2 separate regions of the Mus musculus genome follow, and region 2 is reported to be linked to region 1. The links are microRNA targets in miRTarBase. Many come from high-throughput screens and were not tested one by one. Region 1 holds a microRNA gene; the other region holds the end of a gene's coding sequence.
The links. Region 1 holds the annotated microRNA mmu-miR-466c-5p (UGAUGUGUGUGUGCAUGUACAUAU, at 2,537-2,560, shown strand). A microRNA usually pairs through its seed, bases 2 to 8, with sites in the 3' UTR of a target mRNA and lowers its output. Matches are read on the target gene's strand: a 7mer-m8 pairs with bases 2 to 8, a 7mer-A1 pairs with bases 2 to 7 and ends in A, and an 8mer does both.

Region 2: miRTarBase lists Fam107a as a target of mmu-miR-466c-5p. Seed matches in the 3' UTR shown: 7mer-m8 at 2,486-2,492.

The regions. Positions count from the first base shown.
Region 1 is chr2:10,479,008-10,486,351 of GRCm38, forward strand. Mir466c-1 (microRNA 466c-1) reads left to right here and starts at 2,527; the gene lies at 2,527-2,610. All of the region lies in intron 10 of Sfmbt2 (Scm-like with four mbt domains 2), which reads left to right. It overlaps Mir467b (microRNA 467b), which reads left to right and starts at 2,241; the gene lies at 2,241-2,313. It overlaps Mir669a-5 (microRNA 669a-5), which reads left to right and starts at 2,754; the gene lies at 2,754-2,840. It also overlaps Mir466e, Mir669a-4, Mir467a-3, Mir466c-2, Mir669a-6 and Mir467a-4.
Region 2 is chr14:8,294,669-8,302,012 of GRCm38, forward strand. It overlaps Fam107a (family with sequence similarity 107, member A), which reads right to left. Exons shown (of 4, transcript NM_183187.4): 2 at 6,391-6,565; 3 at 4,842-4,998; 4 at 1,602-4,129. The coding sequence starts at 6,560. The coding sequence ends at 4,022. Among named protein-coding and RNA genes, the nearest start is that of Fam107a, 11 kb to the right of the region's middle.

The DNA of each region.
Region 1 (7,344 bases):
GATCAGGAGTGCAAGTTCATGGTAAAGGCATGATGTGTTAGAGGTCATCCTGGCATTCATGTGATTGCCCCTATGTATGTGTGTATGTGTTGATGTGTGTGTACATGTACATATGTGAATATGATATACATATACATACACGCACACATAAGACACATATGAGCACACAGACACATGGGAATGGCACTCATCAATCCATTTGAGTGATAAGTGACTTAGAGTGAAAATGCTTGCTAGAGTTAAGGGTATCAGGAGTTCAAATTCATACTTATCCTCATGAGAGATCAGCCTGTGATTCCTCCATGTATGTGCATGTGTGTATAGTTGTGTGTGCATGTTCATGTCTATATTTGAATATACATAACATACACACACACGTATAAACGCAAGCACACATACACAGACACAGGAATGGCATTCGCCAATCCCTTTGAATGATAAGTGATGTAGAGTTTTAGCGATTATGCAATAGGGGACATTGAATGGTCTCACCCACCAGGTGTAAAAGATTGACAAAGTCAGGAGGATAAGGATTGCAAATTCATGCTTAATTCAGTTAGAGATCATCCTGGTATTCATGTGAGGCCACCCATGTATGTGCATGTGTGTTTACTTGTATATGCATTGCCTCTGTTGACATGATATACAAAATATAAACACACGTGTATATGCAAGTACAGACACAGAGAAAAAAATTGCATTCATTTATACGTTTGAATGATATGTGACTTAAAGTTTTAGATTATGCAGTTTGGGACAGTGAATGGTTTTACTCACCAGGTGTGAAAGATTGTGGATCAGGAGTTCAAATTCATGCTTTACTTCATGATGACTTTAAGATATGCCTGGGATTCATGTGATGCCCCTATGTATCCCTATCTGTATCTGTTTCTATTGTGTGTGGATTTGAGTATATGGATGTACCTATCTACACAAATATATACATGTACACAGACACAAACAGAAACACACACACAAACATCAGTGCAACTCATCGATCCATTTGAATGACGTGTGACTTAGAGTTTTAAGATTCCTCAGTACTGAATGGGGAGAGGTCTCACTCAGCAGGTGAAATCCCTTGACAGAGTCAGGTGGATCAGGAGTTCAAATTTGTGCTGAATTTCATGATGAGTTCATGACCAGCATGGGATTCATCTTATGCCCATCAAAAATTTGCATGTGTGTATAGTTGTGTGCATATTCACTTCTCTATATGAATATGCATATACACACATGCACACACATTCATAGGAATGGCCAGAGCTATGTCTCAGTTAGGAGGTGAGTACTCTTGCCAGTGTCAGGAGGATGAGGAATTCAAATTTATGTTTAACTTCATGATGAGTTAGAGTTCAGTATGCGATTCATGTGATGCCCACCAAGAATGTGCATGTGTGTATAGTTGTGTATATATTCACTTCTGTATATGAATATGCATATACTCACATGCAAACATATTCCCACGAATGGCCCGAGCTATGACTCAGTTAGGAGGTGAATACTCTTGCCAGCATCATGAGGATGAGTAGTTCAAATTCATGTTTAACTTTATGATGAGTTAGAGATCAGCCCGGAATTCATGTGATTTTCCCTGTGTTTGTGTTTATGTGTATAGGGAAGTATGCCTGTACATGCGCGTATATGAACATGCATATATATATATGTATATATATGTATATATGTATACACACACACACACACAACTAGGGACACATACATGTGCACACAAACACACATGGCAGTCATCCATTTGATTTATGCGTGCTTTGAGTTTCATTGAGTGTATATTCATGGTATAGGGAAAAATCTCACTTATCAAATGAAAACCACTTGCCAGAGTTAGGAGTCTCAGGAGTTCAAATTCATGCTTAACTTCATAATGAGTTAGAGATCACCCTGTATTTGTGTGATGGATCCTAGGTATGCAAAAGTGCATATAATTGTGTGTGCACGTACATGTGTGTATATGATCATACATATAAATACACACACATATAAAATGTATTCACACACACAGGCATGCACACTCACACACATAAGAATGACACTCATTGATCCATTTGAATGATATATGTCTTAGAATTTTGCTGATTATAAAGTAGAGGGATAGTGAAGGTCTCACTCACCAGGTGTAAACAATTGGCAGTGTCAGGAGGATCAGGAGTTCAATTTCATGCTTAACTTCATGAGCAGTTAGAGATCATCCTGGAATAATGTGATGGCCCCTTTGTATGTGCCCGTGTGCGTAAGTGCCTGCATGTATATGCGTGTATATTTTATGCATATACATACACACACCAACACACACATGCACACAGACATGCGGGAATGTCCCTCACGGATCCATTTGAATGATATGTGACCTACTGCTTTGGAGGTTATGTATGACTGGGCCAGGGTGAGGTCTCACAAACCACGGGAAAACCCTTGATAGAGTCAGGAAGATCAGGAGTGCAAGTTCATGGTAAAGGCATGATGAGTTAGAGGTCATCCTGGCATTCATGTGATTGCCCCTATGTATGTGTATATGTGTTGATGTGTGTGTGCATGTACATATGTGAATATGATATACATATACATACACGCACACATAAGACACATATGAGCACACAGACACAGGGGAATGGCACTCATCAATCCATTTGAGTGATAAGTGACTTAGAGTGAAAATGCTTGCTAGAGTTAAGAGTATCAGGAGTTCAAATTTACACTTATCCTCATGAGAGATCAGCCTGTGATTCCTCCATGTATGTGCATGTGTGTATAGTTGTGTGTGCATGTTCATGTCTATATTTGAATATACATAACATACACACACACGTATAAACGCAAGCACACATACACAGACACAGGAATGGCATTCGCCAATCCCTTAGAATGATAAGTGATGTAGAGTTTTAGAGATTATGCAATAGGGGACATTGAATGACCTCACCCACCAGGTGTAAAAGATTGACAAAGTCAGGAGGATAAGGATTGCAAATTCATGCTTAATTCAGTTAGAGGTCATCCTGGTATTCATATGAGGCCACCCATGTATGTGCATGTGTGTTTACTTGTATATGCATTGCCTCTGTTGACATGATATTCAAAATATAAACACACGTGTATATGCAAGTACAGACACAGAGAAAAAAATTGCATTCATTTATACGTTTGAATGATATGTGACTTAAAGTTTTAGATTATGCAGTTTGGGACAGTGAATGGTTTTACTCACCAGGTGTGACAGATTGTGGATCAGGAGTTCAAATTCATGCTTTACTTCATGATGACTTTAAGATATGCCTGGGATTCATGTGATGCCCCCTATGTATCTCTATCTGTATCTGTTTCTATTGTGTGTGGATTTGAGTATATGGATGTACCTATCTACACAAATATATACATGTACACAGACACAAACAGAAACACACACACAAACATCAGTGCAACTCATCGATCCATTTGAATGACGTGTGACTTAGAGTTTTAAGATTCCTCAGTACTGAATGGGGAGAGGTCTCACTCAGCAGGTGAAGTCCCTTCACAGAGTCAGGTTGATCAGGAGTTCAAATTTGTGCTGAATTTCATGATGAGTTCATGACCAGCATGGGATTCATCTTATGCCCACCAAAAATTTGCATGTGTGTATAGTTGTGTGCATATTCACTTCTCTATATGAATATGCATATACACACATGCACACACATTCATAGGAATGGCCAGAGCTATGTCTCAGTTAGGAGGTGAGTACTCTTGCCAGTGTCAGGAGGATGAGGAATTCAAATTTATGTTTAACTTCATGATGAGTTAGAGTTCAGTATGCGATTCATGTGATGCCCACCAGAATGTGCATGTGTGTATAGTTGTGTACATATTCACTTCTGTATATGAATATGCATATACTCACATGCAAACATACTCCCTCGAATGGCCTGAGCTATGACACAGTTAGGAGGTGAATACTCTTGCCAGCATCATGAGGATGAGTAGTTCAAATTCATGTTTAACTTTATGATGAGTTAGAGATCAGCCCGGAATTCATGTGATTTTCCCTGTGTTTGTGTTTATGTGTATAGGGAAGTATGCCTGTACATGCGCGTATATGAACATGCATATATATATATATATATATATATGTATACACACCCACACAACTAGGGACACATACATGTGCACACAAACACACATGGCAGTCATCCATTTGATTTATACGTGCTTATAATTTCATTGAGTGTATATTCATGGTATAGGGAATAATCTCACTTATCAGATGAAAACCACTTGCCAGAGTTAGGAGTCTCAGGAGTTCAAATTCATGCTTAACTTCATAATGAGTTAGAGATCACCCTGTATTTGTGTGATGGATCCTAGGTATGCACAAGTGCATATAATTGTGTGTGCACGTACATGTGTGTATATGATCATACATATAAATACACACACATACAAATGTATTCACACACACAGGCGTGCACACTCACACACATAAGAATGACACTCATTGATCCATTTGAATGATATATGTCTTAGAATTTTGCTGATTATAAAGTAGAGGGACAGTGAAGGTCTCACTCACCAGGTGTAAATAATTGGCAGTGTCAGGAGGATCAGGAGTTCAATTTCATGCTTAACTTCATGAGCAGTTAGAGATCATCCTGGAATAATGTGATGGCCCCTATGTATGTGCCCGTGTGCGTAAGTGCCTGCATGTATATGCGTGTATATTTTATGCATATACATACACACACCTACACACACATGCACACAGACATGCGGAAATGGCCTTCACGGATCCATTTGAATGATATGTGACCTACTGCTTTGGAGGTTATGTATGACTGGGCCAGGGTGAGGTCTCACAAACCACGGGAAAACCCTTGGTAGAGTCGGGAAGATCAGGAGTGCAAGTTCATAGTAAAGGCATGATGAGTTAGAGGTCATCCTGGCATTCATGTGATTGCCCCTACGTATGTGTATATGTGTTGATGTGTGTGTGCATGTACATATGTGAATATGATATACATATACATACACGCACACATAAGACACATATGAGCACACAGACACAGGGGAATGGCACTCGTCAATCCATTTGAATGATAAGTGACTTAGAGTGAAAATGCTTGCTAGAGTTAAGAGTATCAGGAGTTCAAATTTACACTTATCCTCATGAGAGATCAGCCTGTGATTCCTCCATGTATGTGCATGTGTGTATAGTTGTGTGTGCATGTTCATGTCTATATTTGAATATACATAACATACACACACACGTATAAACGCAAGCACACATACACAGACACAGGAATGGCATTCGCCAATCCCTTTGAATGATAAGTGATGTAGAGTTTTAGAGATTATGCAATAGGGGACATTGAATGGACTCACTCACCAGGTGTAAAAGATTGACAAAGTCAGGAGGATAAGGATTGCAAATTCAAGCTTAACTTCATTTGGAGATCATCTTGGTATTAATGTCATGCAACCCATGTATGTGCATGTGTGCTTACTTGTATGTGCATTGTATGTGTTGACATGATATACATAACATAAACACACGTGTTTATGCAAGCACACACACACAGGAAAAAATTGCATTCATTTATACGTTTGAATGACATGTGACTCAAAGTTTTCAAGATTATGAAGTAGTGGGACAGTGAAAGGTTTTACTCATCAGGTGTGAAAGATTGTGGATCAGGAGTTCTAATTCATGCTTTACTTCATGATGACTTAGAGATATGCCTGGGATTCATGTGATGTCCCCTATGTATCCCTATCTGTATCTGTTTCTATTGTGTGTGGATTTGAGTATATGGATGTACCTATCTACACAAATATGTACATGTACACAGACACAAACAGAAACACACACAAAAACATCAGTGCAACTCATCGATCCATTTGAATGACATGTGACTTAGAGTTTTAAGATTTTTCAGTACTGAATGGGGAGAGGTCTCACTCAGTAGGTGAAATCCCTTGACAGAGTCAGGTGGATCAGGAGTTCAAGTTCGTGCTGAATTTCATGATGAGTTCATGATCAGCATGGGATTCATATTATGCCCACCAAAATGTACATGTGTGTATAGTTGTGTGCATATTCACTTCTCTATATGAATATGCATATACACACATGCACACACATTCATAGGAATGGCCAGAGCTATGTCTCAGTTAGGAGGTGAGCACTCTTGCCAGTGTCAGGAGGATGAGGAGTTCAAATTCATGTTTAACTTCATGATGAGTTAGAGTTCAGCATGCGATTCATGTGATGCCCACCAAGAATGTGCATGTGTGTATAGTTGTGTACATATTCACTTCTGTATATGAATATGCATATACTCACATGCAAACATACTCCCACGAATGGCCCGTGCTATGACTCAGTTAGGAGGTGAATACTCTTGCCAGCATCATGAGGATGAGCAGTTCAAATTCATGTTTAACTTTATGATGAGTTAGAGATCAGCCCGGAATTCATGTGATTTTCCCTGTGTTTGTGTTTATGTGTATAGGGAAGTATGCCTGTACATGCGCGTATATGAACATGCATATATATATATATATATATATATATATATATATATATATATATATATACACCCACACAACTAGGGACACATTCATGTGCACACAAACACACATGGCAGTCATCCATTTGATTTATACGTGCTTAGAGTTTCATTGAGTGTATATTCATGGTATAGGGAATAATGTCACTTATCAGATGAAAACCACTTGCCAGAGTTAAAAGTCTCAGGAGTTCAAATTCATGCTAACTTCATAATGAGTTAGAGATCACCCTGTATTTGTGTGATGGATCCTAGGTATGCACAAGTGCATATAATTGTGTGTGCACGTACATGTGTGTATATGATCATACATATAAATACACACACATACAAATGTATTCACACACACAGGCATGCACACTCACACACATAAGAATGACACTCATTGATCCATTTGAATGATTTATGTCTTAGAATTTTGCTGATTATAAAGTAGAGGGACAGTGAATATTCTCACTCACCAGGTGTAAACAATTGTCAGTGTCAGGAGGATCAGGAGTTCAATTTCATGCTTAACTTCATGAGCAGTTAGAGATCATCCTGGAATAATGTGATGGCCCCTATGTATGTGCCTGTGTGCGTAAGTGCCTGCATGTATATGCGTGTATATTTTATGCATATACATACACACACCTACACACACATGCACACAGACATGCGGGAATGGCCCTCACGGATCCATTTGAATGAAATGTGACCTACTGCTTTGGAGGTTATGTATGACTGGGCCAGGGTGAGGTCTCACAAACCACAGGAAAACCCTTGGTAGATTCGAGAAGATCAG
Region 2 (7,344 bases), not on the chromosome of region 1:
AATTCTAGAGATGCCAATAGAGGATATCTAGAAGCCCATAAAAGCAGGTAGAAAAGAAGTTATTCATTCAGGCTCAGGACAGCCTCGGTGCTGGTGTCTTGTGACAAGGCCATTTGGTGTTGTGTGGAGAAAACACTCCTTCCTATGGAAGCTTTATGACTTGCTGCATGTAGGAAAACACCGCTGGATGGCCCTTTCTGAAGTTGTCTGAGAGGTCCAACCTTTTGGACATTGTGCCATGATGTTGTTATCATCTGCAGTTTACGATGGAGAAATCATAGATTACAAGAAAATAAATCTCCCTCAAGAAAAAAAAATCTCATGTTTTAAGTAAGTTTATGATTCTGTGCTGGGCTGCTTTCATAGTGGTCCTGAGGCTGTGTGCTTGGGCGTACACCTGGGACTCATTCCTGCAGGGATTCCTAACGACCAGCAGGAGCCATTTTGGTGCATGTTGGGATGGCTCATGCTCACCTCCTTTAGTAGGATGTAGATGTCAACAACTTATCTGGGGCCTTTTATTGAACGAGTGTGTGTGTGTGTGTGTGTGTGTGTGTGTGTGTGTGTGGTGAGACCTTGAAGAGAATGGAGGTGTGTGCTGGGTGGCTTCTGAGGAAAGCCTGTTCCTGGTCAGCAACATATGTGCATCAAGGCTGGCTGCTGAGGGGAGCTTTTGGGGCCACTTGACAGGAATCTGACCTTGGCTAAGGACAAGGAAATGGGCTTCAGGCAGGAATCTGACCTTGGGCCATGATCAGGAAGAAGCTCAGGCAGGAATCTAATTTTAGGGTAGAACAAAGAATTAGGCTTCAGGCAAGAATCTGAATTTGGTCTTGGATGGGGAAGTAGACTCAGATATTTTGGTCATCCTGATAAACTCTTAGAAACAGTGATCATGGGAGTGATCATGGGACTTTGCTTACTGCCTTGCTTGTTCCTTGATGATTCCTGTTTATTGTAATTACTAACATGTAATTAAAACTACATGCGGATTGGGAAAAAATAAACCTGCCTTCGGTCTCAGAATTGACTGAGGTCATGCTGCAGTGTTGTCTAATTGTCTCTTTCTTTTCAGTCCCCGCTCCTGCTGTGGAGAACCTGTTGACTGACTGAGAGGGCTTGGTCAGACTGTAAGAGTGGAAGTCAGGGTAAAGAGGGAACTGGACACATAGAGCCTTCCGGACTGCTTGGAGGACTCCCCCGTGAGCCAACAGAAGGCTCTTTGAAGGATGGCAAGATCTACTTAAAACTGTAAGCGAACAGTCTGGGAGCTCTGTTAAGGAAGCACGTGGGCAAAGGCAGCAGTGGGGATGAAACCTCAGCAGTGGTCCAGGGAAAGGCAGCATCTTTCCCGGCAACACATGACATGCTTCCTGGTACCTGAGTCAGTGATGAGTGCCAGTTCACTGGCTGGAGTCAGGTAGATGACATTAGAGGGTGTTCAGAAGAGGGTTAAAGCCCCGAAGTGAGGAACCTGTTCCAGCAGGTTTCTGTTGGAAAATAGGGATCCAACATTTTAGCATCACTTACAGGGATTTCTGGACAGGCAGGCAAGGCTGGCCCTTTGTGTCAGTTGGGAAAGATAAGAAACAGACTTACAATGGCTTTACCAAACAGGAATTTATTTTTATTTACAAGGGTTCTGGAGATGGAGAGCTGTTGGCACTTGCTTGGTCAGATGATCATAGGGTTTATGGATCTTTTGGCCTTTTCTTTAGGTAAAACATGGTTGCTAATGGTCCAGGCATTGCATCCTCAATCAAGAAGGAAGAAACAAAGCAAGGCTCTCAGAAAAGGCATGGGCTTTTCTAGTAGCTCCTATAGACTTCCACTTCAATTTCATTGGCCATACCTGGTCACATGCTCACCCAAATGTGCAGAGGAGGCTAGGCCTACAATCTCTGGTGGGAAGCAGCGAGAGAGACGGAATTGGGACTAACAGAGTCACAGAGTATCAAGGTAGCTACTATGGTTCCTCTGGATGACCTGCCTTGAGGTCTCTCCATGATTTGCCATTTCCCTGGGGACTGCTAAGTCCCTTGGGTGGTCCTACTCTATCCCAGACGTCCTGTCCTACTCCTCATTACATGTCAGAACAACACATGTACCTGTAAGGTGACAACCCCCAACCCTTTCTTTATTTAGGAAACACATCTTCAGCATAAAACCTCACCAGCAGATACTTAAGACAGGTTCACTGTATTTACCAGTGTTTCTCAACCTGTGGGTTGTGACCCCTTCATGGGGGTGGGAGGCCACACATCAGATATCCTGCATATCAGATATTTACATTATGGTGTTTAATAGTAGTAAAATTAGTCATGAAAAAGCAATGAAAATAATTTATGGTTGAGGGGGTCACCACAACATGAGAAACTATGTTAAAGGGTTGCATTAGGAAAGTTGAGAAGCACTGCCTTAGAACTTTAGAGTTAGAACACACACACACACACACACACACACACACACATACACACACACACACGATGTGTGTGTGTGTTACACATCTATGCAGGTAACATCCATAAGGAAGAGATAGAATCTCCATTCACTGTCAGACCCTGCTGGCCATCCCACCATCATTTCCAGGAGGCAGAGCCCCTGGTGCCCCAGCAGGGAAATCTGTGCTCTGGGGAGTGAGAACTTCTGCTTGTCTGGAAGTGCTCTTCCCACCTGCGAAGGTGAATTATGGATTTCATTCTTCAGGTGAAAGAATTTCGGCCTGGCGTACTCTGTAGATCTTCAAAAATGGCATAGGAGCAAAAGATTCAAGTAATTCGGGTGTAACAGAGGGAGGAAGGGGCTTCTGAGGAAGAAGAATGGGTGGGGAAGACCCAGACTGGGGGGAAGGAGGGGCAGGGTCTCAGGTAACAGTGCTGGCAATATTGACCTAAGAGTTTATTCCATCACCATGGCAGTGGGGTCTTCAAAATAGCATATATATTGTTCCATAGGAAATCATTGTATAGTTGCTTTCCAAAAAGCTGTAGAAAGCTAAGGTTCTTTCCCCCTTCTTTTTGGCTAGAATTGTATGATAGTGTTTTTATACCAGTAAGAAATAAAGATTGGCAGTTACAATCCCCTGACCAGGCCAAGGAATTCTGTGTGTGTGTGTGTGTGGTGGGAACACTATGGATAGTGAATGAAGAATTTGGGGGCTTCAGAGGAGGCACTGGGAACCTTCAGGCCAGGGAGCCAAGAGAGTTGGCTATTTTTAATATACCACTCTTGGGTGCGTCAGCCTAACTATATGTTCCAACCCACGTCCAGGACCACCTCCGGGAGTGTGTTAGACATGTAGCTTCCAGGGACTGTTCACAAGATTCTCTGATTTGTGTATACAGTAAACTTGGCAATGTGCTGATCTAGGCTGGAAGCCAGAGCTCTGAGGTGAGGTGTGGTTAGTAATTTAGGGAGGGCAGTGGGGAGGAGCAATAAAAGCCAAACTCTGAGGCAAGCTGGCAAGACCGAAAGCTGCTTTGCTTGGGACCCTTCCCACCTGACCACAGCCTGCTGTCGCCTCCCATGCCCTTCCTTGCTACAAACATCTGGTGCCTTCTTTGCTTGCCCTGTGATTTCTAAAACAGGTGTCCTTGGCCTCAGGCTAAGCCAGAGTTGAGCTGTTCCCAACACTAGGAGCTGAGCTGCTCCAAGAAATAGGCCTTATTGGGCAACTGAGGCAGAATGGAGGGACACTTGGCCCTCTTCCTCACTTCTGCTAGGGAAATATCAGTGAGTCTGATCGGGGATGGCACCTCTGGAGGTCTTTCCTGGCAGTGGCTTCCTCTCTGGTGCAAGAAGGCTAGGTGCTCAGAAAGAAAAGTCCAGAGACCTTCCTCTGTGTGTGTGTGTGTGTGTGTGTGTGTGTGTGTGTGTGTGTGTGTGTGTCTCCAGCTTCCCAGGAATAGCTGGCCTTTCAGGTGTGCCTTGCTGGCAGCATTGTGGGCTAGGGTCCTCAGGTTCAGACTGGCTGGAGGAGGGCTGGGCCAGAGTAAGTGGCAGGAGCTGGATGGAGGGAGCTCTACAGTGCTCTTTCCTCGCTGGTCAGTGTGGTGATTCTGCGTAGGTTTTCCCGGACTTTGATGAACTCAGGGGCGTGGTCCTCGTCTCTCTGTGGTGGGTTTTCCAGCTGAAGCGGAGAAACACAAGGAGTGAATTTGGCAGGGTTGGTTCTGGAGGTGGGGGTAGAGTTTCTATTCTCAAAAGCCATGGTATTGGACCAAGGGTCCTGTCAATGGGGAAAGCCTGGGTTGGGTTTTACAAACCACCCCAAAGCTGGGGTATGTATCAGGCAAGTATACACTTGAAAGAGGGTCATAAAGATTAACATGAACAAAAAACCCCCTACCCTCACTTCAGGAAACATTATCAAAACAGTACCCAAGAGGAAATCCCACCATCTCCGAATATGGGGAGAGGTGATGTGCAAATGACCTCTCAAGGGTCAGGCTGCTGGCAGCCCCAGGTTTTGATCTTGTAGCCCATATCCATTCTGGAGAGTGCTTTCCTCTCCCTTAATGTACCTCATCTCTGTCACTATCCATGTCCCCAGCCAGCCTTCCCAAAACACAAGAACCCAGATGTCTCTGTTTACTGGTTCAAATCACATCTTCCTCTGGCCCCAGACCCTCCCACCTATGAAATAGAAATGCCACCTGCTCTCAGGGCATTTCGGGGAGCAGATCTATCTTCCAGGATATAGACCTTACAGGAAAGCTGAGGGTCAGAGAAGTGATGCCACTGGACTAGAGTAACACAGCAGGGCAGAGGTAGATTCTAGGTCCCATGCTGACCTTCCTCTTGGAGGAGGCTCAGACGGAAGCTGGACGCTTCCCACCCACCTGGTTCAGTCTCTGCTGCCGCCTCAGCAGCTCCTGCTTGAAGGGGCACTGCATCCGCTTGGCCTCTAGCTCCTCCTCCTTCTTTTTGATCAGCTGATTCCTGCGACGGTGCTCTAGAACTCGCTGCAGCTCAGGCTTGCTGTCCATACCCAAGCCCCTGCGGGTAAGGAGAACAGTGAGGAGACTCTTTCCTAGCCTGGGACACAGTCCCTGTATTATCTCTTAGAGCGTTTGGGAAACACCGGAAGGGGGCGATCTCACTGCCCCGTGCTATATAGAAAGGCAAAGAGGCCCCCCTCCCACAACACAGCAGGGCAGGTGCAGTACAACAGGTGAGTGAGAATTTCAGACCCGGCTGCAGACAGAGACCAGGTATCACATGGTTGCTGGATATTTTACTAGAGCTTCTGATGGCGGAAATGCTGGCCTTCGCTCTCTTAAAATCTCATGGGATTTAATTTCCTTACAAAAATATATATTTACCCCCATTTTACAAGCCAACTCTTTTAAGTCTAGGAGACAAAAAACAATGCCTGGTTTTCATGTTTCCTTAATTACCAGTCACATGTAATGAACTTTAAAGTGTTTCTAGCATTCACATTTTCCCATTTGCATATGAATCCCACTCATTTTGCTTACCCTTTCCTGGTAGACTAAGGTACACGAATATATGAATATTTCATACTGTATATGTAATTTTCAATAGAATTTATTTATATTGCAAATATTTCAGTTTGCCTGAAGCTGTTTTCCATCGTGGTGGTACTTTTGATACTGAAATGAATGATTATCGCAAAAACAACTGAGAACATGACAATATTATAATATTAGTAGAAAACAAACCCAAAATCAGCTCCATGTGCCAGCGGTATCTGTCGCATGACTTAGAATGGAAATCACGTCCAGCTCCAATACAACAACCAGCCGGCAGAGGGCGCCATGAAGGTACCATAAGCTTCGGCCTCTAGCCTCTAGCCTCTCAAGGGCCCCTCAGCCACCCTCTCCTACACTTGACATCCTGTGATTGCTGATCACAGATGTGTCATAGCCCATTCCCCCCACCCCCGACTCTTGTGTTTCACTGCCATGCTCTCCCCCAACAGAGGGTGTGGCTGAGAAAGAGCCATCACTACCTGAACCCTCTACAATATTTATGTGCTCTCTCTCCAGTTTTCTCTGCCAACACGACCCATCTCTCAGCAGGGTTGGCTCTTGCCCCTGCTTTAGGCCTTCTAGATATCCTCTCTTCCATGATGTCATATAGATAGTCCCCCTATCCCAGTAGCCCCTCTGGGGTCCCACATTCACTTAAAGCTTCCAGCAACTTTCTTTTCCCCTGGGGAGGGCAGAAACTGGGTCTCCGTCTTTTGTATCTTAGGTGTGGGCATGGTGCCCTGCACACAGTAGGGCATCTAAGCACACAGCAAATGGGTAGGGCTTTCAGGTTCACACAGTTTCTTCTGGTGACCCTGTTGGGGTTCCAGGCAATGGCTAGGTCAGCCCCTCTAAGAAGCATTTTTCTAAGCCAGCCAGCTGGATGCCACCCTACCTTTTGTGGTTCATAAGCAGCTCACGGTGCAGCTCCTGATGGCTCCGAGAAGCCTTCACAGGGTTCAGCAGCTTCTTGGGTTTGATGAGCTCTGAGTTCCACTCTCTGTACTCTGGTCTGGCCATGAGTCCCTCGATGTCAGCCCGCTCCCTCTGGATCTCTGAGTACATGGAGGCTGTAGTAATGGGAAGTAACGTTACTTCACGTCCCACATTCCAGCCCACCCTTTGAGGTGCAGCTTAGTGGGGGCTTTCTCACACAGACAGTGGCTTCTGAGCAATTTGGGTTAGCTACCTGATAATGCAAGTCTTGCTTTCTGCCTCTCTATTGTGGGAAACGGTCACTCCACCAAGGGGAAAAAGCTTGTTGTGATTATTGGAGATGATGTTCTCTGGGAGGTGGGGTTCAGAAGTGAATAGAGACCAAGGCTCACAGTAGCTGTCACGGGACTGGGGAGATGTTTCAATCAGCAAAGAGTCTGCAATGTGAACATAATGACCTGAGTTAGATTCCCAGCACCCAGGGAAAAGCCTGGCATGTTGCTGTGTGCTGGGAACTCTAGCACCATGAGGTAGAGACATGGGGAGCTCACCAGCCACTCTGTTATCCTAATCAGTGAACCTCATGTCCTAGTGGGAGATCCTGTTCCAAGATGCAAGGTAGACAGTGCTTGGGGAATAGCATCCAAGGATGACCTCTGGCCTCCATGTGGCTATGCACACACACACACACACACACACACACACACACACACACACACACACACACACGAGTACATATAACTACATAGTCACTGGCTGTGCTTGATAGTTTCGCATCAACATGACATAAGCAGCTAGAGTCATCTAAGGGGGGACCTCAATTGAAGAAAATGCCTCCATGAGAACAGGCTGGAGGCAGGCCTGTAGGGCATTTTCGTAATAAGTGCCAATGTGGAGGGTGCCCATTATTGGT